Linked DNA regions of Danio rerio. The protein of the gene in region 3 binds, or shares a complex with, the protein of the main gene of each other region. Links are inferred from orthologs where the notes say so. Each region holds a gene or a part of one and is shown on either strand. Other genes may lie near its edges.

The links.
Region 1: the proteins of pigt (region 3) and gpaa1 are in contact, whole or in part, in a cryo-EM structure (PDB 7W72), measured with the Homo sapiens proteins. The link is inferred for Danio rerio from reciprocal best matches to the Homo sapiens genes PIGT and GPAA1. Residues at the interface, in NP_057021.2 of Homo sapiens: Gln91, Gly92, Phe93, Arg95, Arg97, Tyr98, Ser108, Phe211, His212, Thr213, Ser214, Asp247, Phe249, Ile250, Arg340, Gln355, Tyr357, Val358, Ser359, Gly360, Tyr361, Gly362, Leu363, Leu371, Tyr373, Lys441, Asp459, Pro460, Asn461, His462; in NP_003792.1 of Homo sapiens: Arg97, Ser98, Val99, Gly100, Glu102, Tyr104, Arg134, Ala135, Pro136, Arg137, Ala138, Ala139, Ser140, Thr141, Glu142, Arg171, Gly172, Gln173, Ile174, Tyr199, His200, Asp201, Val202, Leu212, Gln213, Gly214, Arg215, Ala218, Arg311, Tyr312.
Region 2: the proteins of pigt (region 3) and pigs are in contact, whole or in part, in a cryo-EM structure (PDB 8IMY), measured with the Homo sapiens proteins. The link is inferred for Danio rerio from reciprocal best matches to the Homo sapiens genes PIGT and PIGS. Residues at the interface, in NP_057021.2 of Homo sapiens: Pro26, Arg27, Val63, Ser64, His65, Tyr66, Arg67, Lys71, Gln75, Lys79, Tyr80, Val133, Gly136, Lys191, Leu193, Pro194, Cys195, Ser196, Lys198, Ala199, Glu270, Pro271, Pro273, Leu274, Tyr526, Ile529, Cys530, Cys533, Val536, Ala537; in NP_149975.1 of Homo sapiens: Thr9, Glu12, Val13, Gly16, Ala19, Ala20, Phe23, Thr230, Pro238, Lys239, Tyr244, Ile247, Glu248, Val251, Gln256, Val270, Asp271, Ser272, Gln273, Ile274, Tyr276, Tyr277, Met279, Ser309, Arg310, Ser313, Ser314, Ala315, Ala316, Phe513.

The regions. Positions count from the first base shown.
Region 1 is NC_133177.1:1,625,959-1,636,599, forward strand, and holds the end of gpaa1 (glycosylphosphatidylinositol anchor attachment 1 protein), read right to left. Parts: intron 10,220-10,641; coding exon 10,066-10,219; exon of another isoform or gene 9,364-10,065; intron 9,160-9,363; exon of another isoform or gene 8,880-9,159; coding exon 8,808-8,879; intron 7,852-8,807; coding exon 7,655-7,851; intron 7,331-7,654; coding exon 7,160-7,330; exon of another isoform or gene 6,801-7,159; intron 3,753-6,800; coding exon 3,509-3,752; 3' UTR 2,517-3,508; downstream 1-2,516. UniProt on the Homo sapiens protein: Component of the glycosylphosphatidylinositol-anchor (GPI-anchor) transamidase (GPI-T) complex that catalyzes the formation of the linkage between a proprotein and a GPI-anchor and participates in GPI anchored protein biosynthesis. Binds GPI-anchor.
Region 2 is NC_133196.1:42,861,023-42,871,663, reverse strand, and holds part of pigs (GPI transamidase component PIG-S), read left to right. Parts: intron 1-1,094; coding exon 1,095-1,237; intron 1,238-3,472; coding exon 3,473-3,587; intron 3,588-3,682; coding exon 3,683-3,828; intron 3,829-7,689; coding exon 7,690-7,790; intron 7,791-7,875; coding exon 7,876-8,086; coding exon of another isoform or gene 8,087-8,266; exon of another isoform or gene 8,267-8,278; intron 8,279-8,393; exon of another isoform or gene 8,394-10,641. UniProt on the Homo sapiens protein: Component of the glycosylphosphatidylinositol-anchor (GPI-anchor) transamidase (GPI-T) complex that catalyzes the formation of the linkage between a proprotein and a GPI-anchor and participates in GPI anchored protein biosynthesis.
Region 3 is NC_133198.1:12,516,735-12,527,375, reverse strand, and holds part of pigt (GPI transamidase component PIG-T), read right to left. Parts: intron 9,991-10,641; coding exon 9,893-9,990; intron 9,744-9,892; coding exon 9,587-9,743; intron 3,183-9,586; coding exon 2,982-3,182; intron 2,693-2,981; coding exon 2,527-2,692; intron 2,456-2,526; coding exon 2,372-2,455; intron 1-2,371. UniProt on the Homo sapiens protein: Component of the glycosylphosphatidylinositol-anchor (GPI-anchor) transamidase (GPI-T) complex that catalyzes the formation of the linkage between a proprotein and a GPI-anchor and participates in GPI anchored protein biosynthesis.

The DNA.
Region 1 (10,641 bases), on a different chromosome or scaffold from region 3:
TGCTAAATGACTAAATGTAAATGTACAGCACTTTTCTTTTTACCTTAAGCACATTTTAATTTAAATGTGGCCGTTTTTAATTTGTTTTTTTTACATATAAGCACAGTGCAGTGTTAACGTTCAGCCTATTTCTGTTTAAAGCGGCTGACAATAATAAATATTCTTGATAATAGGAATTAATCTGCCACGTTTTTGAAGTGTGCAGAGCTTCAGCTGCTTTACTGGGCTTACTGCGCCACTGTGTTTCAATACTGCTCATTATGGTGGTACTTGGAGAGACTATTTTTTTTCTGAGGTGGTACTTGATGAAACAAGTTTGAGGATCACTGCCTTATAGAATCAAGAACTCAAGTAACAGAATAAATTATTAGGCACAGAGAAAGATGACAAACTGGCTGGAATTTGAAGGGAGAATTCACCCAAAACTGAACATTTCCTGTTTATTTACTCACCCGCACACAGATTGATTTAATTTTTGGGTGAACTATCCCTTTAATGACGTTTTGCCTGTATGATTGGTAATTTTTCTATTCCTTATTTTATATATACATATATATACATATATATATATATATATATATATATATATATATATATATATATATATATATATGTTTAACAGAGCAATGAAATGTTCACAGTATGTCTGATAATATTTTTTTTTCTGGAGAAAGTCTTACTTGTTTTATTTCGGCTAGAATAAAAGCAGTTATTAATTTTTTAAAAAACATTTTTGGGACAAAATTATTAGCCCCTTTAAGCTATTTTTTTCGATATTCTACACAGAACAAACCATCGTTATACAATAACATGCTAATTACCCTAACCTGCCTAGTTACCCTTATTAACCTAGTTAAGCCTTTAAATGTCACTTTAAGCTGTATAGAAGTGTCTTGAAGAATATATTGTCTAATATTATGTGCTGTCATCATGGCAAAGCTAAAATAAATCAGTTATTAGAAATAAGTTATTAAAACTATTATGTTTAGAAATGTGCAGAAACAATCTTCCCTCCATTAAACAAAAATTGGGGAAAAAAATAAACAGGGGCGCTAATAATTCAGGGGGGCTAATAATTCTGACTTTAACTGTATATATATATATATATATATACATACAGTTGAAATCAGAATTATTAGCCCCCCTGATTTTTTCACTTTTTCCTTGCTCTGTTAAACATCATTTGGGAAATATTTTAACAAAGAAAAAGATGTCAGAGAGGGGCGAATAATTCAAATATATATGATCTATTCCAGTGTGATGACCCTTGTATTGTACTTCAGAATTATGCAAATTATTGGACATATGTGTAACATAAACACACTTTAGTATAAATCCATCATATTAGTGTTATAGAATTATTTCATATGAAGAAGCTCCCTCTGACTTTAAATATATTACATTCAATATTTGATATGAAAAGTCATTTAAAAGTGCCAGACATTACCTTCCCCATCAAGGCCTTTTGTACGCTAGCCTAAAATGACCTTCTTTTCCTCAATTTCTTCTCTCTCTCTCTTTCCATTTCTCACATGCATTTTTTCTCTCATATTTTTCTTTCCTTCTTGCTTTTTTCTTTCTCTCTCTTTAACTCTCACTTTGTTGAATTCTTTTATTTGCTCATTTTCTCTTTCCTTTTCTCTTTTACCCCTTAATTTCTTTCTTTTCCTCTCTCCTCATTCTTCCTTTCCCTCTCATTTTCTTTCCTTTTTCTTTCAATCTTTCTTTCTCTTTTTCATTTCTTTTCTCTCTCTCTCTTTAATTCTTACTTTTTTCATTCGTTTTTCCTTATTTTCTTTCAATTTTTCTTTTTTCTCTCTCATTTTTTCTTGATCTTTTTCGTTCTTTTTCCTTTTAATTTTCTTTTTTCTTCACTTACTTTCCCCCAATTTCTATCTTTCATTCGTTCTTTGCTTTTCTCTCTTGATTTCTCTCTCTTTTCCCCCTCAGTTTAATTCTTATTTTTTCATTACTTTTCCCTCAGTCTTTCAATTTTTTCTCTTCTTTTTTCTCTTCTTTTTTCTCTCGATTTTTCTCTCTCTATCACTCTTACTTTTTTCATTCCTTTTCCTCTCATTTTCTTTCTTTTCTCTCTCTCTACCTATTTTCTTTTGCTTTTTTTCTTTCTCTTTTTCCCTTAGCTATTTTACTCTATCAGTTTCAATCTCTTCTTTCTTTCCTTCCTTTACATTCTCTTCCTTTTCTCCCCTCTCAATTTTTCTCTCTCATTCTTTTCTCGTTTGCTTTTTTCTCTTTTCCCCCACTCAATTCTCTCTCTCTCTCTTTTTATTCTCTTTACTTTCCTCTTTCTTTTCTTTCTCTCTTGCTTTCTTTCTCTGTCATTCACCGTTCAGTTCACTTAAACATCAACGTAAGCCATACAATTTTCCCTCAGGTTTGTCCATTCCTAATGAATGCTTTGTTAATATTATTAATATACGGGCACGTTAGCTTTGTGGACGCCCTTTTAGCTTCTAGCACATGAACAAATATGCAGCAGCAACTCAGACAACACGTTTAAAAGTTATTATTTAATGACAAACAATAATCAAATTATGCGATGAAGAAATTAAATCCAAAACAAGATGGCATTTTTAACATTTAAGTTCACAGACATATTAAATTACAAAGCCGAGATTTTAAATACATATAAAAAAATAAAAAAATAAAATAATTCAGGATATCAGGGTTCAAATGCCAAACTATGTGTAGTATTTTATAATATAATAATAATAATAATGTAATAAATGAACCAGTATGCCATATTATCAATTCATTTCTGAATAAATCTGCACGTTTCTCTTAAGCAAGTCTTTATTTCTGTCCTCACACATGCAGTCATGTTTGATAAAAGTCAAATAGTCATGTCAGAAAGACAAAGTCATGTATTATTATATTAATTATGCAAGAAATAAACCCTCCTGCAAACAGGAACGCTCAATACTCAAACTCTTACCAACAAAATCCTCTTTATTTGGGCCTGACGTCCTCTTACATCTTCATCCAGCAGCTCCTAATGGTAGACAATGCCTGTACACGGCAAGTAAATACTGTTCTTACCTGCAGTGTTTGTCTTGTTTCTAGTCTAAATATCTAAAAATGCATAAATTGAGAAGTATTTTCTTAGACAAATAATAAATATTGTCTTGTTTAAAGAAATAATGAGTTAAAAATAAGTGAGTTTTACTTAAAATAAGCAAAATAACCTGCCAATGGGGGGAGTAAAATAATCATGTTTTTCCTTGTGACATTATATTATTTTCCTCCCCGATATTCAGATTATTTTGCTTGCTTTAAGGAGAAACTCACTTAATTTTGACTCATTATTTCTCAAAACAAGACAATATTTTGTAGTTGTCAAGAAAACGCTTCTTAATTTGTGAATGTTCAGACATTTAGACTAGAAACCAGACCAAAACTCTAGGAAAGAAGGCAATTTTGCAGTGCAGAAAGACAACAAACCTTTAAGAGTCTGATCATTTTGGATCATTTTTGCTCTTTCACTTGTTTACTTCCAGAAGAGAATATTCCAGAACATCAGCCAGCAGGGATAAACGAACAGCGCTAAAAGCGGATAGACGAGCGACCCGTAGAGCGCGTGATCGAGGATTCCCTGAGAAATGACGGAGAGGAAGATCGTGAGTCCCTCAGGAAGGCTGACCGGCGCCTCCATCAGCTCCTGATAGATGAGGACGCAGTAGAAGATGGTGAACGCTGGACTGAGGAGCACCATGGCCAGAGCGCTCACAGATCTGACACACACAACAGGAGACGTGCAGATTAGAGATAGTACTGATCACTAATATTTTGATCAAAACTGTAAATGGTGATTGTCGATCCGAGTTGTAAGAGCAACAAATAATAACTCGACTTCTAGTTGATCACTTGGAGAAGTGTCAGAAGGTGGATTTCTCTGCTGGATCGTCTGCTGATCTGCATCCCAATCATCAACACTGCAGAAGACCTACTGGAACCAGCATGGACACAAGATTCTCACAGACATCAGTCAAGTTTGGTGAAGGAGAAATCATGGTTTGGGGTTCATTCAGTATGGAGAGATCTGCAGAGTGGATGATCAACATCAACAGCCTGAGGGATCAGGACATCTGTGCTGCCCATTACATTACAAACTACAGGAGAGGGACAATTCTCCAGCAGGACAGCACTCCTTCACATACTTCAGCCTCCACATCAAAGCTCCTGAAAGCAAAGAGTGCTCCGGGATTGGCCAGCCCAGTCACCAGACATGAACATTATTGAGCATGTCTGAGGTAAGATGGAGAAGGAGGCGTTGAAGATGAACACAAAGGATCTTGATGAACTCTGGAAGTCCTGCTGAACGCTTTCTTCTTCATTCCAGATGACTTTATTAATCAGTGATTTGAGTCATGTCAGAGATGTATGGATGCAGTCCTCCAAGCTCATGATGGAGTCAGACACAATATTCATTCTGTCTCCACTGCAGCAGGACTTTATATTCTATACTGGACATTATTTCTGTTCAGTGATGACACTTTAGTCTGAGCAGAGTCAGACCGCACTGTCCTCATCAAATCAGTCAACATCAAGACATGATCAGATTTTATTGTGATCAAACAAGCAAAATCTAGAGGCGTTCGCCTTTCATATAAACCACTTCTGACACCAAATCATCAACTAGAAGTCAAGTTAGTATTTGTTCTTCCTAAAACTTGGATAGGCGACAAGACTTTTGTCAGATAATGAATATATAAATATACACAGCTAGGTCCGTAAGTATTCGGACCGACACAATTCTAACATTCTGGTCTCTATACACCAACACAATGGATTTGAAATGAAATGAACAAGGTGTGCTTTAACTGCAGCTGTCAGCTTTAATTTGTGGGTATTTACATCTAAATCAGGTGATCGCAGTAGGAATTACAAGTTTGCATATGTGCCTCCCACTTGTTAAGGGACCAAAAGCAATTGAACAGAACAATAAGTCAAACTTTCACTTTTTAATACAAGGTTGCAAGTCCTTTGCAGTCAATTACAGCCTGAAGTCTGGAACACATAAACATCGGCAGACGCTGAGTTTCAGTTCTGTCAGTGCTCTGCCAGGCCTCTACAGCAACTGTCTTCAGTTCCTGCTTGTTCTTGAGGTATTTTCCCTTCAGCTTTGTCTTCAGCAAGTGAACAATATGCTCAATCGGACTCAGATCAGGTGATTGACTTGGCCATTGCACAGCATTCCACTTCTTTCCCTTCAAAAACACGCTTCACTGCTTAGGATCATGAGCAGTTCTCTTGCTTCACCATATTCCTCTCTTCTCATCACTGAATCATCACATACAAGTTGATCTTGATCTCATCTGTCCACAGGATGTTGTTCCAGCACTGTGAAGGCTTTTGTAGAACTCTAATCCGGCCTTCCTGTTTTTGAGGCTCACCAATGGTTTACATTTTGAGGTGAGCCCTCTGTATTCACTCTGGTGTAGTCTTCTCTTGACTGTTGACTCTAACACGCATACACTTACCTCCTGGAGAGTGTTCTTGATCTGGCCAACTGCTGTGAAGGGTGTTTTCTTCACCAGAGAAAGACTCTTTGGTTTTCGTTCACAGTTGTTTTTCATGGTCTTTTGGTGCTGCTGAGCTCACTGGTGCGTTCCTTCTTTATAAGAACGCTCCACACCGTTGTTGTGGCCACACCAGGGGCCTCATGTACGAAGACTTGCGTGGAAATCATACTAAAACATTGCGTACGCACAAAGCTTTAAATGTGCGTATTCAGAAAAAATTCAGATGTATGAAACGATGCGTACGCCGAATCTCACCCATATTCTTTTGTACATCTGAATGAACGTGAAACTGAGCGCAACATGCACGAGCGCAAAACCCCTCCCTGCCTCCTCCCCCGTATGAATATGCTAATGACTCTACTTTGGCAAAACCCAACGAAAACGCAACGGCAAAAGCAAGCAAGAAGAGAAACTTTGAACAGAATGTGAATTGAGGTGCTGCTTTCGGCGGTAGACCGGAGGAAAGCGGTGTTATTTGCACGTTTGTTCTCCGGAATTAACAACAAAAGAAAAAATAGAGTGGGAGAGTTTAGCTGATGTGGTTAACACAGTTGAGTCTGAACATCGCACTGAGTGCATTTAAAAAAGAAATAGTGTGATTTATAGGTGTACAATGTTGCTGTACCCTTAACAGTATCAGTGGCGCAGCTCGTAAAGCACATGTCAACATGTTTGGACACGTTCGAGCATGAACTCGGTTCGAATCCAGCGTCTGATGAACTCTTCTTTTTTCCCCCGCTACATATCAGATTTTGCCAACTATTTATCACGAGAAAGACAAGTAGGAATCATTAATAAGTCTGTGCATCATATTTTATTTGCACATTTATTGAATGGAAATATTTCTGATTCAAGCATGCAAATTCATCTTCAGATAGTGTCTTTATAGCGATGTGTGTGCAGTAGATAGCTCAGATTACATTGGGAAAACAGGCGACTGCTGCAAATTGTGCTTTAATGTTTAGCTGGTCAACTGTATGGTATGGAAATCTTACATACCTACTAGATGAACCCGTCACATACAGCTGCCATTGCATGGCTCTGACACTTTGTAGAGTGCAATTTAACACAACTGCCTCTAGGAGTCGCCAATGGAAATAAAACAGACACGCACAAAAAATGTGCGTACGCCTGCCATAAAGCTGCCGTGGAGCTGCGCACATTCCCACGTTCAGTTCATCGTTAGTAAATCCAAACGTGAGCCATTCTGAGCTTGAAACCTGGCGTACGCAAAGCTTTTGTGTTGATACATGAGGCCCCTGATGTTTTTGCCATCTCTCTGATGGGTTTGTTTTGCTTGTTCAGCCTAATGATAACTTGCTTGACTGATAGTGACAGCTCTTTGCATCTCATCTTGAGAGTGGACCGTAACCGATAGAACAGCTTAGAAGCCAACTGTCCAAGTACTGTTGGACCCTTAACAAGTGGGAGGCACATATGCAAACTGTTGTATTTCCTACAATGTTCACCTGACTTGGATGTAAATACCCTCAAATTAAAGCGGACAGCCGTTTCATTTCTGTTGGTGTATAAAGCCAAACATGTTCGAATTGTTTCGATGCGCAAATATTTATGCACCTAACTGTAAACTGCTATATAAGATTGCCGAGTCTTACTTGAGCATGTGTGGTGTGATGCTGGCAGTGACTGGCACCAGTGTGACGGCCAGGATGAAGCCCAGCGAGAAGTTAATGAGCGCAGTGCAGCCCAACAACACCGCTAGATAGAGCAAAGACGTCAGCTTGAGCACTTTCCAGCCCTGCTCCGTGCCCTCGCCAGACAACAACCTGCGCGCGCGCACACACAAAAGCAGGATACATGATGGCGGATAAAGATGGAGCACAGTTATAAACTGGTCATGACCTAAGTAAAACTAATTCTCTTCATCTGTTGACGTACGCTGCACAAAAATGCAGGGTTCCACACTATATGAGTTCATTTAACTTATTAATTTCATTAGTTTATCGTATAAATACTGTAGTTAAATACAATAAATACATGCCTGTAGTGGTCATGCATAATTAAGACTCAACATTGCGTATCCTGCGATGTGACTTGGAGATGCACACATTGCGATATTGATGCTGAATCACTACATTGTGCAGCCCTACCGCTGTGTGTTGTGTGGCAGTGCCAGGCCTGCAGTGTAGATGGCAAGAGCGGTCAGCACCACAGCTTCGGTCTCGGACACAGGGAAGTGCTCCACAGCCATGTCCTGCAGGTAAACAGGAAGTATATACAGCGCCACACCAGTCAGGTGACTGATCACGACTGGGGTCAACACGGACAACACCCCTGGACTGGACGGCTGTAAACAAACACAGAAAACAACGGTTGATGTCTTTGCACACGGAGCTGGCATATAGAGTATTAGCAGCATATTATAAACTTTGCAGAGCACTTCTCATGTGACTAGCTTCAGTGTAGACCAGGGGTGCACAAACTTTTTCATTTAACGGCCCACAAAACAAATATCATCATGAGCCATGGGCCGAAGGTAAATATACCAAACCATATTACATTAAAGTAGCCATGGCTATTTTCCTAATTCACTTCATAGTATTAAAAAATAAATACAAACATTACTTTAAATGGCATAAACTAATTCAGTATAGCTTTTAAAATGAGAACTTACTGCAATAAAAACATAAGAGTGAACAGTGGAGCTCAATGCTGAAAACACTAGTCAAGCAGAATCTGCCTTGGCCTAGATTTGCCTCTATCCGTCAGGTGCCAGTATGCAGATTTATAAACTAAATCTGATTAATTTACAGTGTTTAATTGAAACATTTAATTTTTAGTTAGCTTTTAACAATAAAAACAAACAAACAAAATGTTGCATTAGATATGAAATAATCTCTAAACCATCCCTATCAGACTTCCTCTCTTGTCAGATGGAATGAGAAGGGTATAAACGGAGGTCGAAGCCAGCTCCAAGTGGGTGGGACTTAAGCTCCAAGTGGGTGGGACTTGAGCTCTAAGTGGGTGGGCGTTCGAGATCCAAGTTTGCTGTGCAAACCTGGAGTTTTTATTTATTTAGTCATATTTAGAGTTCAATAATGTGCTTTATGAAATGTCTACACCTACTCCAACCCTAAACCCAACCTTACAGTAACCTGACGTGTTTTATTAGTGTCTGCGCCACCTACACCACTTAAATCCAACCTACTTGTGGTTTAAGTCCCTCCCACTTGGAGGTCACCCAACCTACTTGCGATGTAATCCCTCCCATATATACATATAATACTCTAGCACAGGACTCACCTGCTCGGCTTCACTGACTCCATCTACTTCTGACAGGACAGGAGCTCCCAGATGAACCCAGAGATCCAACGCCTGTAAGAAAGTTAAGGATTCTAACACATGATTATATTCTCATTTAAAGAAATATCATCACAAATTAAACTTTGCACAAAGAGATTTGTCGCATAATAATATGTACACATAAGAGGATCATCCAAATTTAAATAAATACTACAGTAAAGTGCTTGAATTATTCTGTTGTGGTGATTCTACAGTTGCTAGGGTAACAACAACTATAGTGATTGATCTGTTGTGGTGATTCTACAGTTGCTATGGTAACAACGACTATAGTGATTGATCTGTTGTGGCAACTCTAAAGTTGCTAGGGTAACAACAACTATAGTGATTGATCTGTTGTTGCGATTCTACAGTTGCTAGGGTAACAACAACTTTAGTGATTGATATGTTGTGGCGATTCTACAGTTGCTATGGTAACAACGACTATAGTGATTGATCTGTTGTTGCAATTCTACAGTTGCTAGGGTAACAACAACTTTAGTGATTGATATGTTGTGGCGATTCTACAGTTGCTATGGTAACAACGACTATAGTGATTGATCTGTTGTTGCGATTCTACAGTTGCTAGGGTAACAACAACTTTAGTGATTGATGTGTTGTGGCAATTCTACAGTTGCTATGGTAACAACAACTATAGTGATTGATCTGTTGTGGCGATTTTACAGTTGCTATGGTAACAACAACTATAGTGATTGATCTGTTGTGGCAACTACAGTTGCTAGGGTAACAACGACTATAGTAATTGATCTGTGGTGGTGATTCTACAGTTGCTATGGTAACACAACTATAGTAATGTAAACAAATGAATCAATAACGTATTGCTCTATGATTATAGGGTATATTACACAACAATAAACCAGTTTACAACAGTAAATCTAACGTATACTACAGTATTTATTTCACTTCCTACAGCTAGTATCACAGAATGCTGTAGCATAATTTAAAGTGTTAGAAATACTACAGTATACGCAGCATAATACACTTGGTTCAATAAGACTACAGTGTTTGCGTTAAATCAATATAGTATTTTTTCATGTGGGAAGGTAATGTCTCATTAGCAAACTCACTACTTAAGCCTTATAATGAAGACACTTGGAAACGAATCCTCCATCTGTCTGATTAAATCTGTAAATTACACAAACTTGAAGAATCCTAAAAATAATAGTAAAGAAGGTAAACACAGTTGGACTGAAATGGATACTCGGAGCAGTAAGATGACCGCCAGCAGGCCAAACGCTGGCATGTAGTAGCCGATGGAGACAAACCGAGACAGAGAAGGCAACAAGTAAAAGAAATATGACTGATGAAGACGCTCCAGGAGATTGTTCAGCTTACGGACCATTCCCTCCAGCAGCCTGACAAACACAACAGAGGAAAGGAGGATTAAAGGAGGACTAAGACATGGGTCCACAAACACAGGGTTGCTACCAGGCAGCAAGAGTTTGTTTTTTTTAAAACAAGATGCTATTGGTCTAATCCGATTCAATGATTTATGCTAAGCTAAGCTAAAAGTACTCCATATTACTGAAATTAACATGAAAGCTAAAAAATAGGATTATTTTTTAAACAAGATGCTAATGGTCTAATCCAATTCAATGATTTATGCTAGGCTAAGCTAAAAGTGCTACAGTCAGAGCTGGAGATCGGCTGCATGGATTCAGAATTGGTAAAACTCAATTGTTTAACAAAATGCTAATGGTCTAATCCAATTAAATGATTTGTGCTAAGCTAAAAGTGCTAGTCAGACTGAGATCGTCTGAATGGATTCAGAAATAGT
Region 2 (10,641 bases), on a different chromosome or scaffold from region 3:
ATGTATATATATATATATATATATATGTATGTATGTATGTATGTATGTATGTATGTATGTATGTATGTATGTATGTATATATATATATGTGTGTGTGTGTGTATGTATGTATATATATATATATATATATATATATATATATATATATATATATATAAAGAGAATTATTAATTATAATAATGATAATAATAAGAGGAAAAGAAAAATGGAAACGAGTAATATTTTACTATTTTTTTTCTCTTTTGTAAAAAAAAAATGAGTAAGATAATGATATGTAAATATTTGTACTGATATAGTGTTTTTTTCACAATAAACAATTTAAACATAAAAATTATAACTTATAATTCAGACTCAACACAGCATATACTTGCAATGTGAATATATTTGAATGATCACATTGCGATATCGATGCTGAAACTACATATTGTGCAGCCCTACTGAACAGCGACATAATTTGCATTCATCTGGAGCTTTCAGTTAGTTACCATCCCATAAATGGATCAACGATTTTTTTCTCATCAAATCTTGACTAATCAAATGCTCTCTAGTATCTGACATGTCCCGCCCCCTTCAAGACGCTTCTCATTTGATGCTCTTGAGCTAAACCACTCCCACTGGCAGGGCTGTGATAAAACAAAACACTATTGGCTGTTTTTTTAAGAAGGGGACTGGGTTCTCTGTGCCCCACATTGTCTTCATTTTTCAAAACATCCAATAAAAAATGCACATTTAAAAGCATTCCATGGGACCTTTAAAGCACCATTTAAAAAGGTTGTTCAGCCCAAAAATGAAAATTGAGATCATTTACTCATCCTCCACTTGGTCCATATCTGTTTGAGTTGGTTTCTTTTGTTGAACACAAAGGAAGATATTCTGAAGAATACTAGAAAAAACAACAACCATGATTTCCTTATTTTGTTCCTACTATAGATGTCAATGGCTTCTTTTCTACAACATTCTTCAGTATATCTTGTTTTGTGTTTATCAGAATAAAGAACTAACAAAAAATTAGAACCACTTGAGTGAGTAAATGATAAGGATATTGTAACTGAATGGGTGAACTATCACTTTAATCACATTTTACCTTCTCTTAGGTTATGAGATCACTTTCAGTCTGTTAAACCCCGACCCGAAGTCACACAGTCTTCACTGGGATATCGAGGGTGCTCTTCATAGCTACATTCAGCCGTTATTGAACAAACTCGCTCCTATTGCCAACTTTTCAGTGGATTCTCAGGTAACAACAAGACTGTAGTTTTTGTGGGAACCTACAAATGACATTAAATTACTTTATGGTTGGCTCATATGTTGTTATTTAGCAGTAGAAACTTCAGTGTACTGTAGTGTTTATAGCACTGTATATTTGCATGGCTGTTAAAGCTGCTTTGATTGTTTTTTTTACCTGCTTGAGACCAATAAAGAAACATGGAGTAATGCTAAAATGTAGAGCAGGAGTATATTTATTTAAAGAATACAGGCTATATTCATTCTGTCTTGATTTAGGGTCAGATTTCTTCACTTTTCTAATGTTAGTAGAGTATTTGTGTTTGTTTAAACCAGTGGTCACCAAACTTGTTCCTGGAGGGCCGGTGTCCTGCAGATTTTAGCTCCAACCCTAATCAAACACACCTAAACAAGCTAATCAAGGTCTTACTAGGTATACTTGAAACATGCAGGCAGGTGTGTTGAGGCGAGTTGGTGCTTAACCCTGCAGGGACACCGGCCCTCCAGGAACGAGATTGGTGACCCCTGGTTTAAACTAATTTCAGTCTGTGTATGCAGAGCTCAGCATATATAAGTACACCCCATTTGAAAATGAATATTTTATCCATTTCTCAGTAAATATAGGCAGTGTATTTTGCTGCATTTAAACAAAACTGATTTATTCAACAGATATATTTATTAAAATAATATTTTGGTCACAAAACAACTTTAGAAACGGAAAGATAATGAAATTAAATTAATCTGAAATTTTGGAAAAATAAATTACAAACTGCAAAATTTGAACAAAATAATTTTTTGTTTCTCTAGATTTTTTTTTTTTCCTTTGCTATTTTTGAAAATGTTTTTTTTTCTATATTTTTCTGTAACATAAATTTGTGCTACTAATTTTTGTGTAAGTTATTTTGTTACATAAGCTCCAAATTTGGCTTCAGTACAAATTTTATGTTCATGCACAAATATAATATTGTAATGTTTTCTATAAAAAAAATATTCATTTAAATGAGAGATTTGTGAGGGGTGTAAATGTGTTTTTTATGTATTAAGTAGTCTTTATATATTAATTATGAAACTTTTTTGCACAAAGACTATTTTGGTGTGCATTATTGAATGTTCATGTAAAGTAATATTATAATAAAAAAAAATATATATGTTAAATATGAATGATTTATTGGCGAAGCAGTGGCGCAGTAGGTAGTGCTGTAGCCTCACAGCAAGATGGTCTCTGGGTCGCTGGTTCGAGCCTCAGCTCAGTTGGCGTTTCTGTGTGGAGTTTGCATGTTCTCAATGCGTTCACGTGGGTTTCCTCCGGGTGCTCCGGTTTCCCCCACAGTCCAAAGACATGCGGTACAGGTGAATTGGGTAGGCTAAATTGTCCGTAGTGTATGAGTGTGTGTGTGTGTCTGGATGTTTCCCAGAAATGGGTTGCGGCTAGAAGGGCATCCGCTGCGTAAAAACTTGCTGGATAAGTTGGCGGTTCATTCTGCTGTGGTGACCCCGGATTAATAAAGGGACTGAGCTGACAAGAAAATGAATGAATGAAAAAATTATTTATTATAATAACTTTTTTTTTTTGCATTTAAATTACTTTATAAATTTAAATTAGTTTATTCAACTTATAGTTACCCATAAAGATGTTTTGTGTGGTCATTAATATTTTGTAGATTTTTTTTTTTTACTGTCACAGTTTTTATAGAACCTGAAAGAAGAATCTGAAACACACACAAGCTGTATTTATTTGCTCAAAAAATACAGTGAAAACAGTAATATTGTGAAATATTATTGGAACTTTTCAAATGAATGTATAATAATAAACAAAACAATTTATATGTAAAACATGGTCATCAAAAAGCATTTCTTGAAATGATCATCATCAGTGTTGAATAGGATTGCACAATTTTGTAGTGATTTGTTTTTTAACTATGATAGACTAATTATAATAATCCTAGGGTGAACTTCAATAATAATAATAATAATGCTCTAAAATACTGTTCAAATAAATGTGGTCAAGGTGGTAATCAAAGAACAGATTCCTGAAAGAAAAAGATTCGTTTTTAACATTGATAATAATCAAGTAATAAAAATTACTTTAATTCAATTAAATAGTTTATGAAAAATCATGTGAGATTAAACTGACAGATCAGCTTTCAACCACAGGAAAAAAACTATTTTAAAATGTTTAGATAGACATTTTTTATTATTACATTGTTTAATCAAATAACCTTTATAACATTTGTAATTATTTTTTTAGATTCTGTATTATGCAGTTCTGGGAGTGAATCCTCGTTTTGATAACAGTGTGTCGGCCTATACACTGAATGCGGACAGCCTTTCTCATGTCATCAATCCCGTGGAGGCCAGACTAGGTGAAATATGATTCTTTTAATTGACATGAACTGATCTAAGGAAATATTTCTATTCTTATTTAATTTGACACACATTGCTATCGTCTTTCACACAGGATCTAACGCTGCTTCCTCAAACCCCGTCCTAAACTTCCTGCTGTATGTGCCAGATGCCCATCACTCTCCTCTGTTCATCAGAGACCACAGCAGAAGAGAGGTGCCCACCAATGCCTTTCACAGCCCGCGCTGGGGCGGCATCATGGTACTGTTCTAAGATTTACCTTTTTGGGGGGGGGCTACATGATGTATTGAATATTTTCCACATTATGGCTTAAGAATGAATGGGTTCAAATTCAGAAATACCTAGAAAATGTAAGGTTCTATATGACTTTTTGTTAAATTGGAGATGTAAATATTATCATTACTATATATTTATTATTTTTTATTAGGGCTGTCAAAATTAACGTGTTAACGCACATGATTAATTTAAATTGTTTAACGCGATAAAAAAAAGTCAAAGTTTTTATTTCAAGTTGTGGCCGACGTGTGTTTCACGTGCAAAGAAATATGGATAAGACCGAGGAAGCGCTTTTAGAATTAAAGTTTCGTATAAAACAATTAATGCCGCATCACCAGGCTATCCAGCGTTTCCTCCAGAGTTTCATTTTTAATCTTTAGACTTTAACTGCAGTTCAGCAGTTCACTTTCATTCAGCAACATATTGTCCATGCCCCGTGGCAATTACTGAATGAAAATATGAAGTAAGCGCTGCTGGAAGAGTGCTATTTGATAGAATTTGATACCGCATGGCGAACGGAAAGAAAAATCTCTGCATTTCGAGACTCGGGTGGTCCTTTAAGGTAATCAAAAAAATCGCTGCTTACATGCTAGACTCTTAATCAGAGTATTATCTTAATCATAATACATCGGAGTATTTATGTCCATGTAAATGTACTTCGTGAAAGTGCCATATGATGTTGCAAGTTGTCAAAGACAGCCCATTTCTCTGCCTTTAAGTTGATTCCATGCGCCCTCAAATGTTTCATTAGGTTTGCCGTGTTTCCCCACCACACACAACATTTGTAAAGCATCTGCTTCACGTTGCTGTGTCAGAATCTTTGCTTTTAAAATACAGCCTTACTTTAGAACGCTTAGTTTAAGCAAATTTGATGAATGCGATCGTGCGTGTTGATGAATCTGAAGGGAGTCACTCACCGGGTGCGCATGTTGTCTGTGTGTGTGTGTGTGCAATTCCTTGCAACAAGAGGAAACGCCTGACATCGCTGACTGTGTCGAAAGTCTCTTTAAGGCATTCTACATGTATTCTGTAGTGTTTGCTGTGTCCGCATCCCTTAAAGCTGTTTAGAATTAAATGTTTAGAGATGTTGAGATCAAAGTCCCTGTAAGAAGTCTATAAGCTTTGGTACGTGCCGGTTGATGTATCCCCTGACCACATTGTCTCCTGATAATGTCAACAGACTGTACTACCTTAGCAACTGGCTAAATGTTCAGGAGGACTAAGCAAAATTGTTTCTACTTTATAAATAACGTTCTCAACTCATAATACAACTTTACAATGAGTACAATTGTTTGTGTTCAATACTTTATCATTATTATAATTTTCTATTTTTCCATATCTTCAATGCCTGTATTTTGGATTTTTTTTATAATCCTCTTAGAATCCATCTTGGAAATCATTTTTGTTTGTTATTGGCACTGATTGTTTTGAAATTCAAATGGCACTTACATGCCTGTGTTTTTATTTTTGTAATAAATATGGCGTTTTGCGATTTTAATCATGATTAATCACAAAAATAGTGATTAATTAGATTTTTTTTATCAATTGACAGCCCTATTTTATATATTTATTAATAAATACAATTAATCATAATATGTATATTATTTTATAGACCTATTAATTCTGGTCAAAAACAGCGTGAAAGTGGAAACGTAAAGACTTTTAAAATCTTTTAAACTCTCTTCCCGTCATGGTTTATTGGGTAAATCCAAGTATGAACACCTTTTTTTTAAAACACCACGCATTTTTTTTCTCCACAAATCACTTAGTCCTCAGCATTTCTAAAAGCTTTAAGTATGTTGTAAACTGGTAGCCACTGACTGGCTTTTATATGGATTTGAGTAGATTTGAATGTGATGTTTTTATTTAATTTTCAAATAGCCCTGTTTTTTTTTATTTTGTTTTATTATTATTTTTGCGTCCTACACAAGTCTAGGGGAATACAATGAACGCAACAATATTGGTTTTATTTAAAGAGCACAAAACTGGTACCAGTCACAACACAACTACGGGTAAAAAGATCAAAAAAACTATTTACAAAAAATTTCAGTCACGCACAATGTAGTTTAAGGAAGCTCTAGCTTCAGGAGGGAAATAAGGCCAAAATAATAAACAAAAACGGGGTTCTGTCTGGGTGTAAAACCTCTAAATAAACTTCAAGACAATGATGAAAATTAACAGCAAAACTACACTGACTCCCTGACTGACCTCAAAACAGGAGAAAAAGGGAAAGGTCATCCAGCTCCTTACTGCTTCCTGGAGGAAAAGGCAAAATAAAGAAAAAAAGTTTAAATCGTAGTTCTGCTCTTAGCCACAACAGAGAAGAAGTACAAATCATCAACAAGTCAGATTTTAAATCACAAAAGTTCAACTTTCCAACAGTTCACAACAACTTTAATTTAACTGAAACTCAGCCAGTGCTCTGGAGAATGGTTCCTCTCTCGCTCCATTCTCAACATCCAATTGTTTGGCCTGTGTTTTAATCCCCTCTCACTCCTCCATGGTAAGTGAACACAGCTGTGGGAAGCAATCAGCAAACTGCTTGAAGCTCCGGCCCCGTTTACACTTATGCATTTTAAAACACATAAGTTTTGCCAGTTACGCCATCTATTAACACTACGTCAGAGTTTTCGAGCGCCGAAACCGGAGCATTTTGGAAACGCTGAAGAGGCCGTTTTCATCCTAAAACACTGCTGCTCTGTCTCAGTGTGGATGGGGGAAAACAGAGACATCTGAAAACGGAGGCTGGGCTGCCGACATTCGCCTACCTGATTGGGGGTTTTCATCAATATTAAGTAGTCTAACGTTACACACAGTTCAGTCCTGCATCCTCTTCTTGTAAGTTCAGACTTTGCCAGTTTGATATGGAAAACAGACTCCTGAGGACACGGGTAAATCTTCAAAGGGGAACAGTGTACTTTATAACCTTCACATCAACCTGTCTACGTTGTTTCAATTTCTCAACAATAAAATGAAAACTTGATATAAGCAACTGCCTGTTTTCATTTTGATATTAACAACTTAGCAGAAATGCTGAGGTGTTGTGCAGCATAAATGAGCGTCATTTTCACTTAATGCATATTTATAACCAAACGGAGCCTATAACAACTGCCTCCTTTCATTTTCAGTGAAAATAAGACACATACCCTCTCTTCTGCTGAATATCAGTTTTAATAATCGATAACGGCCATTATAAAAGTATAACATACAATAAGTTTATACATTATAGGAAATAAAGGCAAGTGATCAGTCAATATACAGAAACTGTACGTGGTTACATTAATTATGTACTTATCTTTGGGCTCAGCCAAAACACGTTACCTGAGAACAAGTAATAGATTCAAAAGACCAAAGTCTGGGAATACGTCGTTAGATAAAGACAACAAGATGAATGAAATATCGCATTTAAGAAAAATATTGGGATTAGATCCAGCGGGAGATGCATGATGAGCAGTCTGAAGAGCACAGCTTTCATCTGGGTAGATGGGCTGCAGCGAATGCCCGAGTGTGTGTGTGGTCTCATGATGTGCGTTTCAGTTGTTTTGGTGTGGATGGAGAGCTGTTCAGAAATGCTGGGTGAAACGCTAGTGTGGATTACGGGTCGTTTTCATTCTAAAACGCTGTTTTTAAACTAAAACACACTAGTGTAAACCGGGCCTCAGGAGGGGAGGCATCAAGGCAAAAAAGAAGTGGGAGAAAGACATTTGACACAATATAAACACACAGAGTTTGGACGATACATCTCTAAACGTAACATTATTTTGTAAATTGTTCCATGTGAAATATTAATGTTGCAAACAGCCCTGTATTCATCTCAATCTTTAGGTGTACAACGTGAATGATCTGTACGGCCCTGAATCTGAACGTCCTGTCGATATCAGCATTAACATGGCTAAAGTGATGGGTGTTTTCCTGGCACAGTTACGGTTAGTTCTTGACCGTCTGACTTCACAAATGCCTGCTTTGCCCAAATGAACGTGTTTCAAGTCATCCCTCATTTGGTGTTTTCAGGCTCATGTTGGGTGTCCACCAAACTCATCCTCCATCAGGCTTCGTTCTTCAGAGTCCTGGCAGCGCTGGACTGGCCGACTGGGAGCTGGACAGGCTGATGTGGAGCCGCAGCGTGGAGAACATTGCCACTGCCAGCACCACCATCACCTCTCTGGCTCAGCTGCTCGACCAGATTGGAAATATCGTCATTAATGACAACATCGCACTGCAGGTGGGAGCTCTGCATCTTTATATTTTCATAGCACCAATATTGGTATATTCCAAACAACGCAATATCACTTTTCCACAGTTTTGTGATGCCTTCTGCTTACTCGCACGGTCATACAAGGGGTTGTTATGGTGCTATGGCGCCCCTGACGCCGGATATCTGTGTTCGTCGTCCTCTGTTTGAAACAAAGCACAGGTGCACTTGAGATGTATGTCAGGAGCACGACACCCATAGAAAGCACATCACACTTATAAATGCCCTCCTTATACTGACACTGAGGACTTTTTTAAAGCCATTCCTGTATATGGAGTATGAGGGAGCTCTCAGATTTTGTCTAAAATATCTTAATTTGTGTTCTGAAAATTAACAAATGTCTGAAGTGTTTGAATTAATGTGAGGGTGAGTAATTCATTAATAGCAGTATTTTCATTTTTCATTCATTCATTCATTTTCTTGTCAGCTCAGTCCCTTTATTAATCCTGGGTCGCCACAGCGGAATGAACCGCCAACTTATCCAGCAAGTTTTTATGCAACAGATGCCCTTCTAGCTGCAACCCATCTCTGGGAAACATCCACACACACATTCACACACACACTCATACACTACGGACAATTTAGCCTACCCAATTCACCTGTACCGCATGTCTTTGGACTGTGGGGGAAACCGGAGCACCCGGAGGAAACCCACGCGAATGCAGTGAGAACATGCAAACTCCACACAGAAACGCCAACTGAGCCGAGGCTCGAACCAGCGACCTTCTTGCTGTGAGGCAACAGCACTACCTACTGCTCCACTGCTTCGCCCGAATTTTCATTTTTGGTTGAACTAATCCTATAAAGGTGAGCTACCTTTATGGTATCTGAAAACACAGGACGGGTGCAACTAAACTAAAACTTAGCCGGCCATGCCAGCTAATCCAGCTTCATAGCACAGGACCCAGTTGTAAAAATCCACACATTGAGACTTGTTTAAGATGATGAACTCCAGCAAATGAGCAGTGCAGCTTTCATTTAAATTTTAATATTTGAGCATGTCTTAAGATTTCTCTTTTACCAGTTTTAGCAGTTAGATGATCTCCGGGACTGGTGGGGAGCACTTTCATCTTGGCTCAGCATAGGAGATTTTCAGGTGCTGCCTAAATCATTAGAGATGTTTGTGAAAGACGATTCAGTACTGCTATCTTCAGGCACCACATAATATCATTGTGCCTGCTGCAGCTTAGTGCACAGTGTAAATATAAAAGAGTCTAAAAAGTTTAAACGGGGAAAATTATAAAAAAATCTTTGCTCATTTTTGAGTGAGATGCTTATGGTCTAATCCAGTGGTTCTCAAATCTTTTTCATCAAGTACCACCTCAGAAAGAAATTGTCTCTCCAAGTACCACCATGAGCAGTATTAAAATACAGTAGCCCAGTAGGCCCAATAAAGCAGCTACAGCTCTGCACAGTTCAAAAATGTGGCAGATTAATTCCTATTATTAAGAATATTTATTATTGTCAGCCACTTTAAACATTATAAATAGTCTGATTAACATCGAATGTGCTTATATGTAAAATACAAACAAACAAAAAACCTAAAAACGTCAACATAAAAATTAAATTGTGCTTTTAAAAGTTAAAATTGGTAGGTTACTGTACTTAAAAAGTAAAAAAAAAAAACTGCTGTACTTAAATGTACAGTACATTACATATAGTAGCCAATATAGTAGCCAATTCATCAACACCTGGAAATATTGCCTGGACCTTAGAAATATATGCTCTGTCATCATATTCATATGTAATTCATTTTTAATACATTTTGAAATATATGTAGCATGTACATATGACATAATTCAGGGCTCGAAATTAACCTTTTTGCTTGGTAACACCGGTGCTCCTAACTTAAATTTAGGCGCATCAGCCAAAATTTAGTCGCACCCACCAATTATGAGCACCGTTACTACAAGTTTTATACAAACATATTTATTGTATTTGAAATCAACACTAATCAAACTAACAAGCAAAAAAAAAAATCATATATAACGTTATATGCAAGCGTGAGGAAAATATGTCTCAACAAAATCCCGTTATCACAAGAAAATTAATTTTTATAACATAACTGAGTGACCAAAGCATACACGGAGCGCTCACCGGCCCTGCACGCACCGCTTGAATTAACGTGTTAACGGTATAACTAGTAAGATGTGTCATTATTTGTAACTGTAGATGCCATGGTTTCTAAAACAAAATCTGTCAAGTGTTATGTTATCTTCATTCTCATCTTCAGCGCTTTACAATTTTTCGCGGTAGTAGCTCTCTGTCATCAGAACCACATATTAACCACCATATTAACCAATTATTCGCGTTCAGTGCTAGAGCAGTGGTGGGCCAATAAGAAGAGCGCGAAGGCGGGCAAGCATTACGGACTTGGATTTGTTTACTGCAGCAAGTTGACATGACAACTGTTTTAAACCATTCCTGAGCGCTGCGTTTCGCATTTCAAGTGCAGACAAAGAGCTAAGAGATGCATTCTGCATGAATGTCTCCCGAATCCGTGCATGTGCTGAACATTTTGCAGT
Region 3 (10,641 bases):
CATCAAATAAAAATATCAGGCTACCTTAAATTAATCACTCTATGGAAAATGTATATTTAAAAATGTTCCGCTTAAATCTCCGTCAACATTTTTAATAGAAGTCATTAATTTAAAGATTATGTCTTGAGCTTCTGGTTACCTTAGAACTTGTGTGCTTTTTATTTCCTCTCTCACTCGCAGTTTATGTGTGTGATGAAAGACAATGACAAGGCGCATATGTAAAGTAGAGGCTACTATAGCATATAACAATTTTGTTGTTTACATATGATATTGCATTCATTTGCATACATGTCTTTATAGTTATAAACTAAAAGCCTCAGTTTGGTATGAAAAAAAGTTGGTTAGTTGGCTGTACACTAAAGCCTAGTTCACACTACAGGATTTTAAACATCGGCAGATTGCTGTGCCTTTCTTTCATGACTTGATTTTGTGTCTTTTAATCGCTGTGGTGTTCACACTACGCGACACTACGTGAATGATCCACAAGAGGGGGGTCACACACTACAGCTCATTCAAGCTACCAAACCACAGCCAATAAAATTTTGAGGGAGGAGTCTTCAGACCAAGCTGAGCATTATTAGCTGCTTGTGTGCTGATTACATCACTGACAGCGTTTCAAGCTTTCAAGGAAGCATTTAAAAACATCCCAGCTGATGCATCAGTGAATTATCAATCATCTGCAAGTTTTTTATTTTTGTAATTTTATAACTCTTTGAAATAAAACTAACATATCTATAACACCATGAGATTTTCTAAATATCAGTGTATTTCTTTCTAACATTGTTTTTTTTTTTAATTACAAAACAGTAAAGGACTGAGCATTTGTACCTTTAATTACCATATTGGTCAAAATGACTGCATGCATGTCTGATACTTTTTGCTGTGACTTTAAATATGTGTGCATTTTTTGCCTAGCAACTTCCTGCTAACATGAACAAATCTTTCTTATAGCAAAAACATCAATATACTTCAGATATCTTTCAAAACAGCATATTTTGTGCCACGAAATAGCTCCTGTTCGAAAGTGAAAATGAAAGCCAAGACCTTTGCGTGTTTTAGTATTTTAACTACATATTTATAGGCTGTATTACCAAAAAAAGATAATATTTTTAGGGTAATGGTGTCATTAAATATGATGCCAGACAATTAAAGCTTAATTTTATTATCTCAATAGAAGCTTTGAATGTAAATATGATGAGACAATATGACGTTTTATATGAGAACGGTCAGAATGACCAGTATGGTAATTCTAATAGTTACAGAATTCTAGTTTCACAGTTAATATACCCTACTCTCATGTCTGTGTTAACGCAGAATGAAGCGAGTGCACCGATGCCCATTCTGACCAATCACAGATGTTTCTGTTGAGCTCCTGAGCACACAGGCATTCAGCTCATGTTGATATCCTCTCTCATTGGCTGCAGCTCATCACTACATCTGACCACATGTGGGGTTGAGTCGGCCGACTGCTCTGAAATATTCAGCATGCTAAATATTGGATTTCCGTCTGCGAGGTGTTGGCGACGCGTCAGCGAGCCTCGTTGATGTGTTGTTCAGTAGTTCACACAAAGACTGGCGAGCGCCGTGCACCCGCAGAAATTTTCCCAATCCCAGCCTGATCCATCGGCAAGCTCGTTAACTTCCAAATCAGGCTTAAAATCCTGTAGTGTGAACTAGGCTTAAATTAGCACAACTATAGTCTATTTGTTGTGTTTATGAAAGGAGCGTGCTCTGATGGAGAGAAAATTTTGATCCTCCGACTTATGGCCGGCTTGTTTCCAAAGCAGAGCACATTTCAGAAAGTTTTGTTTTGTGGCTTCTTTCTTCAATTGCGCAAATAAACAGAAGTGTTTATAACGTGGATCCAGGAAAGAGGCAAGCAGCATCAGCGCTGGTTTGGCATCAACTTATCTGTGTCAGACTGTGACCAGCAATATTCTTCTTTCATTTCGCTTCTTTGGCAAAATATGTCTGTAGACACGTGTTACCATCCCCCAAGCGAACAAATATGTGTTGCACATTTATGCAGCCAATTATAAAAAAACAATAATACAGTTTTTTTTTATTATTTAACTGATACGGTAAATCAGTTAAAAACACTCTTTCGGTTAAGAGTGAATCGGTTATTATGAGCATCCCTAAATTCTACACAAAGCCCCATTAAAAAGCATACTTTAGGTTAAAAAAACAATACCTATAAAAGGTAAAATTGTGTGTGAAAATACCAACTAATACCATTTTAAAATGTTTTATGACATAAAATGAAAATGTAAATGAAATGATAATATGAAAATGTTTAAGTGCACGAATTTGGAAGAAAAAGTGTCTATTTATTTCATACTTCTGTCACAACAGGCTAGTTTATACTTACAAACTGCTAAACAATGGCTGGTCCAGCGTGAAGTTGGTGTTCATTGCAACCATACTTGGCACAAGGGCACTGACCACAGAAGATCTGTAATAACACATAAATCAGATGTAGACACTGCAAAGTCCATACATTTCAAAATATGACAGGAGTCTTACCCGACGTAGAAGCCATGGTTGGGATCAGGGGTGTATTCAGTCCATTTGAGCAGAGCCCTATCAAACTGCACCGTGATCTCTGTCATGGAGTGGGGGGGCAGCTGAATCAACATCTCCAGCAGATGAGGACGGTGGCGGTCTTTAGCCGGCTGGTAGTGAATGTAGCCTACAGGAGAAAGCATGAAATGTTAGTTCTGTTAACTTTACCATGGATGTAGTCTGATCTGATACAATTGAAGCATCTAATGATTCTTAGATTTTGTTGGTGTGTGTGTTTGGTTTAGTACTGGAAATCTAATTTAGAACAGTTATATAAATATTGTATAATATTTTGCACATTACATATTATAGTAAATCTGAAAACTTCCCATAATCAAAGAACTGCCCTAAAAGCTATATCCACATACAAATCATATATATAACTTTGGCGTATCCAGTAAACAAAATGAACTCACTGGGCTTGTTTTCTCTGCTCTTGCTGGTGACTGTGAGCGTGTGAATGTACAGCTGCAGGTACCAGGGCACTGAATCCATCAGCAGTACAGGAAACGCCCGAAACGGGTGGTTATTGTAGATGACTGTGTGGATTTCTCCCGTCTGCAGCCCAAAACCAGACACATAGCGTTCTGCATGCAGCAGCGGACGCAGCATATCACCTAAAATGACAACCAACACAAGAAAAATTCACCTATTTAAGTGATGATAAATAAACACAGATGTGGATTTAAAGGTATCAATTCTGCAAATTATCTTTTTCGCAAAGGCCAATCAGAACCTGAAAGAATGATAAGGAGCCACAGGTAATAATTTAGTGTTTTCTCTATTTGTTTTTGACTTAAGTCCCAGTAGCATTGAATATTTAATGTTTGAATGTAATTTAATGTTTTATCTAAATCAGCATTATGTAATTTTTTGAACATAACCCTGCTGTTGTTTTTCAATTCGGTCACACTTAACAATAAGGTTTCATAAGTTAATTAATTTTCTAGCATAAACTAAGTATGAACAATACTTGTACAGAATTTATTAATCATAATGCAACATTTATGCATTATTAAAATCCAAATTTATGCTTTAATATGAGTTAATATTAATTAACAATGAACAACTGTATTTTTATCAACTAACTAACAAGAACAAGTTCTTTAATAAATTTATGGTTCAGTGTTTGTTTATGTTTGTAAATGTCTTAACTAACATTAACTAATGCAACCTTAATTGTAAAGTGTTACTAAATTCTGTACACACTGTACATTGGGTCAAAAATGTATGGAGCCAGATCAGTCTCAAAAAACAATACATTTACAAATACAATTCATAGATCTACAACAAAATTCACATTCACAAAATCTAATTTCTAAATTCAAAACCTGATTGGAAAATACACAAATCCAATTCGTAAACTTAAAACCTGATTAATAAATACACCAATTCAATTCATAAATTCAAAACACGATTCAAAAATACACAAATTCAATTCGTAAATTCAAAACACAATTCAAATATACACAAATTCAATTTGTAAATTCAAAACATGACTCATCACAAATCCAATTCGTAAATTTAAAACACAATTCATAAACACAAATCCAATTCGTAAATTCAAAACACGATTTGAAAATACACAAATCCAATTCGTAAATTCAAAACATGATTCCTAAGTACACAAATCCAATTAGTAAATTCAAAACATAATTCCTAAGTACACAAATCCAATTTGTAAATTTAAAACACGAATCTTAAACACAAATCCAATTCGTGAATTCAAAACACGATTTGAAAATACACAAATATAATTCATAAAATCAAAACATGATTCATAAGTACACAAATCCAATTGGTTCATTCAAAACACAAATCGAAAATACACAAATCCAATTCATACATTTCAAACATGATTCAAAAATACAAATTCAATTTGTAAATTCAAAACACGATTTAAAAATACACAAATTCAAATTGTAAATTCAAAACACAATTCAAAAATACATAAATCCAATTCAAAAATACATAAATCCAATTCGTAAATTCAAAACACGATTCAAAAAAACAAAAATTCTATTCGTAAATACAAAACATAATTCATCACAAATCCAATTTGTGAATTCAAAACATGATTTGAAAATACACAAATACAATTCATGAATTCAAAACTTGAATTATAAACAAATCAAATTCGTAAATTTAAAACACAAATGGAAAATACACAAATCCAATTCATGAATTCAAAACATGATTCAAAAATACACAAATTCTATTCATAAAATAAAAACATGATTCATCACATATCCAATTCGTAAATTTAAAACACAAATCATAAACACAAATCCAATTCGTAAATTCAAAACATGATTCGAAAATACACAAATCCATTTCAGAAATTCAAAAAATCATTCACAAATTCAATTTGTAAATTCAAAACATGTGTCACAAATATGGCTGACCACACACATAATTATTTTGCTTTTTATTTAACAAATGAGCCAACTTTTGCCCAGGGAAGACTCGAAACCTGATTCCATGGTATTTATGACCCAAAAGGAATGTGCCATGCAACACTGAACAAAGAGCGGTTCAGGACTTTTTTAAGCTCATTGCTGAAGACTGATATTTTAATGTAAACTTTACTCTCTCTTTGTGTGTAATCATGTGTTTTGCAATGTTTCCCTTGCTCCTGTATCAATATTATTGGTTTTAATACTTACTTGCTGTACTAATTAATTGTTGACATTTTATGTTAATACGAGTGCAACATATTAACATTTTAAGAGACTTTAACATTTCTGCCCCGATTTGCATAAAATTTGCCTATGCAAATTCCTCTGCCTCGGACAAAGCGCCATAAACCATGATGCAGAGAGGTTAGTTTCTAATTGGTCAACTTTCCATGGAGGGTGGATCCGAACCCGCCCTATAAAGCTTGGGACTAAAGTAACGCCCTCTCTCTGCTCTGAAACTCTCTGCTCTGAAACCTCTTCAACTCTCTGCAACTTCTTCAGAAAGCACTCTTCTCTCAATTCTCTTCTCTGAATCTGCAACGACCTAAGATCGAGACCTAAGCAGAGAAACCTCCAAGAAAGCAGGTGGAGACCTAGACGGAAAGGGTTAAATCGCACAGCTCGGACCTACACATCTAAGTTACTTTCTTTTCTTTATTTTCCATTGAGAGTCTACTTAAGTTGGTCAGTGGTCAGCACAACTGGTCCCTTTTGCCGCTTCAACTTCAAACACCTACTCATCCCACTCCAACCCTCGCGAGAAAAAGGAACCACGTAGCAGAACCACGTGCTCAGCCAAGGGAGCTTCTATACATCACATAGACAGACGCAAGTATCCACTTTTGTCTACATCTGAACTGGTGTGAACTAAATGCAAACCTAAAGAGACAACAGAAGGGTGAATTTGATTACGTTGGGTTTGCTCTTACAAACTCAGAGGTTTTCCATCATTACATTCTCTCAACCTCTCATTTTACCTTCTTTACTCTCCTCAACACTTGTATGAATGTGTGTTTGTGTTAGGTGTTAGTTTCTGTTAGATTAGTCAAAGTTTAATTTTGTATAAAGAAAGGTGTCTGTGTATATTTATGAATCGAATGTCTTAAACTTCAATCTTGTTACCCTGCTCAAACTTAATGGGTTTTTATTTTGATAGCATCGCTGGACGATTCATTTGTTCGGATCTAAAGAGACGATTTATTTGAAGCCCCGTTCAAATGAATCTCCCTCCTGTTAGGCTAATCCGCTATATATATGATGGTGCAGAAGATACGCGAGCACTGTAATCTAAATCATAACTCGCAACATTATAACGGTGGAAAAGGTGCGGGAAGATAAACCTTGAGCTAATTTATTACAGAAATAATGATGTAGATATGCGACCACTTTAATCTACATTATAATTTGTTACAGATTATTAATGTAGATATGCGTGCAAAGTTAATCTACATTATTATTCATTTGCTACATTGTTCAATGGTGGAGAATAAACGCAGCAAAATATTACACATGATTAATCACAAATCCAATTTGTAAATTTAAAACACGATTAGACAATACACAAATCTAATTCGTAAATTCAAAACACAAATTGAAAATACACGAATCCAAATAGTACATTTCAAACACGATTCAAAAATACACAAATTCAATTTGAAAATTCAAAACACGATTCAAAAATACACAAATTCAATTTGGAAATTCAAAACATGATTCATTACAAATCCAATTCATAAATTTAAAACACGAATCATAAACACAAATCCAATTCGTAAATTCAAAACACGATTTGAAAATACACAAATCCAATTTGTAAGTTCAAAACTCTATTAAAAAATACACAAATCCAATTCGGAAATTTAAATTACAATTCAAAACTAAACCAATTCTATTTGTAAATACAAAACACAAATTATAAACTAATCCAATATGTAAATTCAAAACACAATTCGAAAATACACAAATCCAATTCATAAATTCAAAACAGGAATCATAAACACAAATCTAATTTGTAAATTCAAAACACAATTCGAAAATACCAAAATCCTATTTGGAAATTTAAAACACGAATCATAAACAAAAAATTCAATTCGTAAATTCAAAACATGAATCATAAACACAAATCCAATTTATAAATTCAAAACATGATTCATAAGTACACAAATCCAATTAGTTAATTCAAAACACAAATCGAAAATACACAAATCCTACTCATAGATTCAAAATACGAATCATAAACATAAATCCAATTTGTAAATTCAACACATGATTTAAAAATACACAAATCCAATTTATAAATTCAAAACACAAATCATAAATATGCAACTCCAGTTCATTTGGTAAAAATAAATGGTTTTTACAAGTGAATTTACAAATTGTGTTTTCAGATTTACAAATTGGATTTTGTAAATGGGACTTGTGCTGTGCATCTATGAGTTTCATTTTGTAAATGTATTATTTCTGACACTGATCTGGCTCCATAAAAAATACCTGCCGTCACCAACCCTTTAAAATAAAGCAGCTTAATTTAATTTCAGTCCTAAATCCTCTTTTTCGTGGTTTTCACCTTTAATGGACAGGACAGTGGAGATTACAGACAGGAAAGTGTGGGGAATGGAGAAAGGGAAGGATCTGCAAAGGACCTTGAGCCAAGATCTCAGGTCGTTGTGAGCACCTCAGCATTATATGTCGTCGCTCTAATCACTAATCTATTGGTGTTGACTTCAATCCTCTATTTTGTGAGAAGACACAACCTCAAATTTATCAAAACAAACGTTGGGAATATCTAGGTTTTCCCTTTTTAGTTTGGAGTTTTTCATCCATGTTTAATCAGAACACAACACTCATTTTTAACTCAAGTAAAAGGGTATATTTTTCTAATGCTAAAAGTACCTGCAAAACGTTTAGGAAGACAGTATTCATAAAAGGTAAAACAGCAGATTCTCATTGTGTGTATGTTTGGGTGCATGTATGTGTAGGAGTATGCATGTGTTTGCTAGTACTTTTTGTGGTAGCTTATGGGTAGTATGACACGGAATCTGCGTGTGCAGAAATCTGCAAATTTCCACAGATTTTTAGCCCATCATTGAGCCTATTTATTTAGATGTGTAAATGTGTGTCAAATTATATTTATTTTGTTTTGTTGTATGTTTTGTCGTATTATTCATTTTAGTAATGTTATTGACTAATATGCAAAGTTCATTTGATTTATTTACAATACAGTTTGTCTTTTAGTAGATATACATTATATGAGAAACTTGCTTTGTTTACCAATTAAGTGGATCTAATTGGATTTGCACTGTAAATTTTAAATAAAAGTTAAAATGGGATTATTTTTATTTCATATATAAAGTTTTTAGCTTAGATACTTCCAAAATCATTCCATATAAATACGCAGATTTTTTTACTAAATTTTATTCAGGAACAGCAAAAAATGTCTGCACATTCTGTTTGGCCCTAGTAAAAATGTTGTAGCCTAAATGTGTGCAGCCATCATGAAAATAGAAAACTATTCTTATTTTTTTTTATGTTTGAGGTCATTTTACAAAAAAGTCACCAGATTTCTAAATAAAAAAACAGAAAAAAAACCTAAACAATGTTTTTTTTTTGTTTGTTTTAAAAATGGTGCCTGGGTCATTTTTTACACTTAAGTCAACAGGAGGGTAAACGTAACGTCTCTGAAATGATTACTGTGATAAAAAGACATTTAACTTGACGAATTCTGCTGTAAAGGCTTCCAGAACTGCCTCCAGAATAAAAAAAAGTAAAACCACCCAACTGCACCAAAGGCTGCAGATCTTGATGGTCAATTTTGATTTTGTGTCTGTATTCGATTTTTTTGATGACCTGCTTACATCAACTTAAAAGTGACTCGTATCTGATCGTCTGCATTTACACAGCACACGGCAAAGGCGCAATGACCAGGAAAAAAAAAGGTGAACGCTGACTAAACAGCAGATAATTGAAGAGTGCTCTTTTCTCTATTCCTGTGTGTGATCTGTTTGCAGCTTTTGACAAGCTGTTTTGACAGAAAGGTTTCCATTTGTCCATCTTCTTTTGATATATAGGCTTTTATAACCTATTAAGGCATCTTAATGTAATGTCTATGGGGTGATTTATGCACGTGATGCATGCACTAGTTTTATAATAGATTGTATTGGTTACGTGGCCGAAATTGCGCTCTCTCGCTCTGGTGAACATGCTTAAATACCTGTGCTATATGACAATGTAAAAGCTGTTTAAGTCCTCGGGTATGAGATTTAAAGTTTCGGACTCTGCTTAAGTCTGTTCTATAGTTTTAAATGACGCGCGACTCACATTGACAGGTGAAAATCCGATCTACCTGCATACACTGCAGACACGAGAACACAGATCTGATTTATTTCAGATAAATTTCCACATATGAACAAGGCCCGGATCTGATTTGAGTAAATCAGAATCCATATGATTTGTTCCTGCTTACACCTACATGGGCCATATCCGATCTGTGCCACATGGAAGAAAAAAATCATAATAAAGTCACTTGAACAGTGCAGTGTAAATGTGGCCAAACAAAATCATACCGCTCTCTCCTTTCCAGCGCAGCAGAAGATTGAGTGAGCGTAACTGTCCAAATGTTTCAGCTCTGGTCAAGTCATAGACTGAATATGTCCTGCGATCTCCTAGAACCACAGCCTGGCTGAGCAGAGCTGTAACAGGACTGAGCTCAAACAGCTCCCCCTGTAAGACAAACAGCACAGAACACTTGTTAACTACAGCGGACTGAGATAGCAGACCTGTGGGACACACTAGCTTCTTAACCAGCCCATTTACAGAAACATTATATAGTCACAAAGCAGAAGGACAGTGTTGTATTGTTTCTGATTCACCTCAGGGTTGTCTGTGATGTCCACATAGACTTTACTAGAGGAAGCAAGTGGACATGCCTCTGTCAGAGTCCGTGAAAACATCTTGAACATGGACCATTCTGAAAGAGATGATGAAAGACATTAATAGACAGATGGAAAAATGTTAGCAAACCACATGGAGCTACAAAATGAGGCTTGTGAAACAGCACAGAGTGACCTTTTATTCACGAGGTAAATGTAGGTGTGTGTGATTTGACCAATGTAATCGATTCGTTGTTGCGGCCCTAATCTGAAACAGTAAAACGCTAACTGGAGATTCGCTCTGACCAAATATATTTTAATTAGAGAATCAGTAAGTTGTTTAACTGGATACTCACTCTTGCTAGATTGGTTAAGTCAGAGAACCAGCGAGTTGCTTGCTTACATGAGACTCGGCTTGAACTAATATTTTGAGTTTGTAAACCATTACCCGAAGACTCACACCGACCAGATCAGTGGAATCAGTAAGGTGTCGTTAACTAGAGACTCACTCTAACTGAATCATTTGAATCTGTAAATCATTAAATGGAGATTCGCTCTGACCAAATATTTGAATTAGTGAATCAGTGCGTTGCTTGCCAACTTGAGGCTTGCTCTAAACAAATCATTTGAATTAGTGAATCAGTGAGTTGTTTGTTTGCTGGAGACTGGACCATCTGAATCAGAAATTACTGAATCGAATGCTGCTATCATGTCTGTGGGTTCAGATTCGATTAGTTTAAAATAATGAG